Bombyx mori: one gene and its partner. The protein of the gene in region 1 interacts with the protein of each later gene in a pairwise test. Links are inferred from orthologs where the notes say so. Each region holds a gene or a part of one and is shown in the gene's direction. Other genes may lie near its edges. The genes, in order: DNA-directed RNA polymerase III subunit RPC3 and DNA-directed RNA polymerase III subunit RPC7-like.

What was found.
Region 2: the proteins of DNA-directed RNA polymerase III subunit RPC3 (region 1) and DNA-directed RNA polymerase III subunit RPC7-like interact in binary tests that used the Homo sapiens proteins (3 or more experiments, as listed by UniProt). The link is inferred for Bombyx mori from reciprocal best matches to the Homo sapiens genes POLR3C and POLR3GL.

The regions. Positions count from the first base shown.
Region 1 is NC_085120.1:9,121,656-9,125,394, reverse strand, and holds part of DNA-directed RNA polymerase III subunit RPC3, read left to right. Parts: intron 1-98; coding exon 99-228; intron 229-870; coding exon 871-1,075; intron 1,076-1,676; coding exon 1,677-1,769; intron 1,770-2,532; coding exon 2,533-2,700; intron 2,701-3,448; coding exon 3,449-3,629; intron 3,630-3,739. UniProt on the Homo sapiens protein: DNA-dependent RNA polymerase catalyzes the transcription of DNA into RNA using the four ribonucleoside triphosphates as substrates.
Region 2 is NC_085117.1:13,528,525-13,531,728, forward strand, and holds DNA-directed RNA polymerase III subunit RPC7-like, read left to right. Parts: upstream 1-1,601; 5' UTR 1,602-1,755; exon of another isoform or gene 1,756-1,877; 5' UTR 1,878-1,882; coding exon 1,883-2,536; 3' UTR 2,537-2,623; downstream 2,624-3,204. Other genes in the region: uncharacterized protein LOC105842656, read left to right, coding at 665-764; sperm-associated antigen 6, read right to left, coding at 817-888, 974-1,034, 1,113-1,258, 2,882-3,040. UniProt on the Homo sapiens protein: DNA-dependent RNA polymerase catalyzes the transcription of DNA into RNA using the four ribonucleoside triphosphates as substrates. Specific peripheric component of RNA polymerase III which synthesizes small RNAs, such as 5S rRNA and tRNAs.

The DNA.
Region 1 (3,739 bases):
CCGGATAAAATTAGCAAAAGGGCCGGATCCGGCCCGCGGGCCGGCTTTTGCCCACCCCTGCAGTAAATGTTGGTATGATTAGTGTTAATTTTCTTCAGGTATTTACTACAAATTAAAACGAAGTACGGTAGTGAAGCAGAAATATTGATTGAAGAGTTGTTACAAAAGGCATGTTCCACTGCTACCGTGCTATTAGTCTCCATTGCTGTTAAATATAAAGATGACAAGGTACTTAGTTCATAGTCATTTTATAAGCACCACCACTAAAGTGGCATATTTAGATCTGGCATTCTCAGTTTATTTGCAGGAACAATTTACATTTAATATGATAAATAAGATAGTAGAAGGAAAAACTTATAGAAAGCCTAATTTAAGTTGTGGCCAGTGCACATGATAACTCTAACAATATAAATAATAAATCCTTGTTATTACATTGCTTTAAATTTGAGTTTCAGGAATATGCAAAAAAAATTCGGATATCCATTGTCAGATAGACAGACAGAAAAAAACAACAAAATGATTCTATAACGGTTTCTTTTTATCCTTTTAAGATCTGGAATTCCAAAAAGAACCCATTTTACTCAAAATGTTTATTACTTTACATTACAATATAATATATATTATATCACATACTATAATTACTATGGTTATCTAATAATGCGTAAATTTATGGTAGTAGTTGTCTGACGTCCATAACCATACTCACCATACTCACCATCAGGTGGGCCGTATGCTCGTCTGCCTACAAGGGCAATAATAAAAAACCATAAGCACAAAATATTTTGATTTATACAATGTTCCTTATTACTAGGCAAATTATTTGTATTCATTTCTTTTAGCTATTCTGATAAATATTGCTTTCTTCACCAGGAAAAGAACATGACTATAGTGAAACTAAAAGATATCTTTATAAGTCTGATAACCGCTGGTTACATACAGCAGGCATCTGTAGCTGAGTTGAAGGAAGGCAGCGAGATACCGACACTGGTGCCCGTCGCAACTATAACACCAGAGATTGATGTACGAGCTGTCATTAAAATTATGAATTCTGGAAATCTAGCTGAAAGTAGTGATAGTGAGTAATTTCAATATCATCTTGCTTGTCGAACAACAGAGTATGAACTGGAGTTGCCATTGCGAAACCCAGTAATAGTGTTGTCAAAGACAGCCCGGCATTCCCTCTAATAATAAGTCCGAGCATCACCTATGTATGTCACTGTTAAACATGATACTCAATGAGTAATTTTAACACGATCCAAATTATATTTTCCATTGAATACTGCTCGTAGAACAACAGAATATGAACTGGAGATACCGTTGCGAAAGTTAGTGATATTGTTGTCAAAGAAAGCCTGGCATTCCACCTAATAATAAGTCCGAGCATCACCTATGGATGTCTCTGTTGAAAATGATATTCAAATTCCAAATCAAATGAAGAAGAATATTATAATGTGTAGATGATGTGAGAGGCTGCATTGTTGAGCTTTGATGGGTCATGCTGGGCAGACTGGTTAATGGTCTACCTGATTTTAAATGATCATAGATACCCCAATATAAAAACCACAACATGAGTCATGAATGAATGTTTGAATATAAGATATTTGACAGATTGGTAGGCCATTGGTCAATATTGATTTATTAAATAAGAATTTGAGATATTTATGTTATTGTTTCAGATGTGTACTGGAAAGTTAATTACGACAGGTTCCATCAGGATATCCGCGACGAAATTATGATCAAAGCAATCACAAGACGAATAGATGAAAACGGTGAATGTTGTTTTCTTTTTTAAACGTCTTTCGAGGCAGACACAGGGATACGTTAGCAATGCTAGAGGTCATCGAAATTTTTTTTTGTTCTACCCAAGATTGGTTTTTGCATATGTGGATGAAGAAGATTAAGACTCAATTGCTTTCTCTGCTTTGCGGCAGAATGGTACCTACCTGTGCGGGCTCACAAGACGCTCTACTGTAATTAAGAAGTTTATGACTTTTACAGGTTTGATATTTGCCTTCAGTGTCCTAGGAATTGAGAATACTGGCTATCTCTGGCTGGGAGTGCTCTGTGGAATTGTTTGAGATGATACCATCATCTCGTTTTTACCACCGCACCGCCCGCCACCGGAGTAGAGTTCATCCATATTACCTGGACCCACTGCGTTTCCAGAGATCTTTTTTGCCACGTACCATCCGGCTTTGGAATAAGCTCCCCTCCACGGTGTTTCCTGAGCACTATGTCACTGTCATGTCACTCTTCAAAGGAGGCTTGTGGAGAGTATTTAACGGTAGGCAGCGGCTTGGCTCTGCCCATGGCATTGCTGAAGTCCATGGGCGACGGTAACCACTTACCATCAGGTGGGCCGTATGCTTGTCTGCCTACAAGGGCAATAAAAAAATATATCAACATCAACCAAACATTTATGTCATTGTTCAAACGAGGTTTGCGGCGAGCATTGCTGTCATATGAATAGCCGGACAGACTGATATCTTTGGAGTTCCTCTGATGAGTTGTGAATTTTGTATTCTTCTCCAGCCGGTGAGCTTCTTCGTCATATGCTGCAACACATGTACCTGACGTCTCCGGCGTGGGCTGCAGAGTCTACACTAGTGCCGGCCGTGGAATTGAGGGAGGCTTGTCTCCGGGCCGCTGCTGACAAGCCCCTCTTGAATCAGTATTTCGATCAATATCTGAAGGTCTTAGGTGAGGTTTTTTTATGAGTAAGTGAGTATTCTTTAGTGTGCACCCAAAAAAAAAACAATGCGATACGTTAAATAAAAAAGTACAATTGGAGGTGTTATCGCTAAGAGCGATCTCTTCCAGACAAACATCAGGTAGACAAGATTCATTTGGAAACGAATATTTTTTTTTTATGATTGAAGATTTACTGGTGGCCTGGAGGCCTTGCCAGTTTCACCAGGACGGGTGGGCGAGCAAAGGCTCAGCCAGAAGGGGTAGGATTTGCTAACAGCTGCCCGAGCACCTCCAAAGGAGACCTAACAACTCAAGAGCAGCTGCTTCACGGATGAATCTACTACCAGATCGGAATCGCGATCCGCTGAGAAGATCCTTACGTGCGGTGTACTAATCCAGTGAAATATATATTTATACACATACATATGCACAATTGAAAATTCATAAATTATGAGTTGAAGTAATATTGAATTATGGTGAATCTGACGCGTCATTTCGGATCCTCCCGATCCATTATCGGTGCTTTTAGGCACCACAAGCACCTGTCATCGTTTTCGTCGAAACCGTCGCTTGTGACGTAGGTCCCGGCGAGTAAATTGACCCATAGACATAGCCCACTGAGTTTCTCGCTGGATCTTCTCAGTGGGTCGCGTTTACCATCTGGTCGTGGATTCTGCGAAGCACTGCTCTTGCTAGGGTTAATGTTAGCAACACGCTTACGTTACGCTGACATAGCCTCTCAAACTTATTAGCTTAGGCAGGAAAAAAAAGAGTGCGTTGCGTGTGACAGAGGAGAGCGGGTGCGGCACGGTGCGGGCGGACGCGGGGGGGCGGGGGTACAGCGTGCGGGGGGCGGGCGCGGCGCGGGGGTGCCTGCTGGCGCTGCTGGAGGGGCTGGTCACGGAGAGACTGGGCTACAAGGCCGCCAGGATATTCAGGTTAAACTTTGCTTTTTTTTTACTGGTGGTAGGACCTCTTGTGGGTCCGCGCGGGTAGGTACCACCGCCCCGCCTATTTCTGCCGTGAAGCAGTAATGCGTTTCGGTTTG
Region 2 (3,204 bases), on another chromosome or scaffold:
TATATATTTATAGTTAAAAAAATAGAACACTGATAGCCATGCAGATCTATTATTCTTACCAAAGTAAAATAGGGGTAGTGACGCAAGAAACGTTTGGAGAGAAAGTAATCCCTACTGTCGAAACGGGTTCCGATTTTTAAAGATAATGCTATAATTTATAATTATAATATAAATTCTCGTCATCGCGAGATACATGAATCTGCTCGTCTATATATTGGCGCGTCTAACGTAGCCGACTGAAGAAACATTTAGATACCTACGCTTCTATTTTAGACACTATCCATAACTTTACAAAATAAGTTAAAAATATTGGAAAACAGCGTTCTCTGAGTGTTAAACAACCGTATTGCGATTGGTAATTGATATAAATTGGTTTATATTGACGTAATGTACAATCGCATTCTGAGTGTTTCTATCGCGTAGCTGTCCTGCATTCTAGTTTGAAGTGTGGACCAGCAGTACCAAAATGGGCCCTTAGACCTTTTGTCACCGACCGGGTGGTGATATTCACGTTGTGATGTCTTTGGGCTCAGGTAACTACTTAACGCTAAATTGACTGTAAGCACACACTCGTAGCGAATTGGATAATACCCTCTAAATCGGGCAAGATTTTTACCGCAGATAAATCGGTCTGTGTACAAATTTAACCATAATCCTATTGCAGTTACAGAGTATTGACTCAATCAATGGTAATAGAAGAATCTAAGATTGGTGGAAGAAATGTACAACTACAAAAAATTGTTTGGACTATGTACAAAGAATGAAAATTGAAACAGTATTAATAAATTGTATTTAACAACATATAAGAAAAATAAACTAATTTCTTTTCTCTATACTCATTTCGCTTTGGCAATCACTCGGCACCCGATCAGTAAAAAGTTCTGGTATCTATTCAACAAAAGAAAGTTACATGTTAATACATGAAAACTACAAGTGTCTATCGAAAATATATACATAAGAGTTTATTCCATACTTGTGGTGTATACGCTTCAACTCTATCCAGCAAAGAATCTGTGTAGCCGGGAGTATAATATCTGAAAATGAAAAATGTATAAAAGCCCACAGTTGAGATTTGAGTAGGACAAATTTTCTTTTAGTAGGTAGTCTTTTACCTTACTATTTCTTCAGGGAAGCAACTGTTTATGATATTAATATACTCCTTCAGGGACGTTCCGGGCACTGTTTCAATTTCTTGTATTCTTTTCAATGCTCCTGTTGTAACAAAAAGCCTTCTAGCTCTTGCATCGTTGGGTAGAATCTGAAAAAATAAAACGAACATAAATAATCTACTTCCTTATACTTTCATTATAATTTGTATAATAATTTCTGAACTGAACAGTTTTTCAGAAATTATGAAACTCCATGAAATTTAAATGGTACTTGCAAAAGACCCTAATAAGAAAAACATACACATTTCTTGGATTTAGCCTGCAAGAGAATGATTCGCACGTATATTTTGTTCTAATAAATGATGAACCTCATTACGAATTACTACGGTAATTGGTTCACGTTCTTCAAATGATGAAGGCAATATACATAGGCTTATTTCATGTCATCTCTAGTTTATTCTTATTTCACGCCATAGTCAATTTCAAATTATCAATAATTCTCATACTGCTGCATTTTACGTTTTGAAAAATAAATAAAGCCACGATTTTTTTTAACGTTGGCTGTATGAGCTACGTCTCTATTACCTGATTTATGAAAGAATTAAACGAAAAAACATCCGATTCAAAACAATAACAAATGAGTAGGGTACGTAGATACCATAGATTATACACTTAATATATTTGAGATAGGTAGATACCATCTGGAGTTTCAAATTTAAATAGATTAACTATCACCAAATTGTTTTCTGATCAAAAAATCGATTACAGTTACAATGGCAGGTAGAGGACGAGGACGCGGGGGTAGCGGTTTATCATTAACTACTGAGCAAATACAAGCCTTAGGTGTGACACGCGGCGACAATGCTCCTCCAACACTTGTGCCGCCACCACTGTTTCCAAAACTTGAGAAAAAACCACTACCTCTTATATGTGATGCCGCCACTGACTATATGCTCATTGTCAAAGATCAGTTCATTGAATATCTACACGAATCACCGGCATTTGTTAAAGTCAAAACAGAGACTGACGGTGTAGAGCGATATTCTGATAAGTACAAAATGTTAGCACTTGATGCGAAGCAGAATAAGTTATTGGATTGCGTGTGGGTTAACATGCCTACCGAATTACGGCCTCAAGCAAAACGTCCGCGTACTGTTCCGAGGAAAAGAAAACTCGATGATCCCGAAGAGATAGCAAAGAGATTACAAACGCTTGAAAAAAAAGAGACTCTGGAAACAGATGAGGCGATAGACGGCAAAAAAAAAGAATTAAACAACGAAAACGTAGATGAAGAAGAGGAGCTGGAAGATGAACATGAGCAAGAATACGAACTAGATGATGGTACTGACTATGCAAATAACTATTTTGATAACGGGGAAGATTATGAAGAAGAAGATGATAATTTGGATGATGGACCTGTTTACTAGGAAATATATATATACAAATTTATATTACACAGTTGAAACTGATTGATCTTGCATATTAAAAATAATTACAATTAACTGTTAATCAAATAGTTTTCACTTTTAATTTTTACTTTCAAATATTCTTTATTAGCAATTTGAAAAACAGTCCCGCCTGGTAGAACTCTTTAAAAAATAGAAATAAATGAATATTTCAGCGAAAGAAGTTTACTACTTAAGTAACTGCTACATCATATTTAAACGAATCAATCGTTAATCAATCGAAAAATCAATCATTACTGATTACTGGAGCACTGTTTCATTTGAAATAGTGTATTATTGTTATATTTGCCTAACTAGAATAATTACCTTTGCATACTGAGCTAGTACATATTTCAATATACAAGCAGGTGCAGAATGTAACAATGTCTCTAATGCAGGTCTATGTAGACAGCATTGTAATGCCTGTTTCAATGCACATGATGTCCGAGCTTGTACTTCTCCTGAAGACTTTGGGTTTGTGTAAAGCTGTAAAATTAAACTAACGATGTTTAATTTAAATATAATTTAAATATACTTTAAATATTGACATCTATCTACGTATATAAATGAAAAGATTATAAATGTGCTATTTGCACATGTATCAGACAAGTATTAAAGACTGATGACAATAATATAGTAATTTTATTACT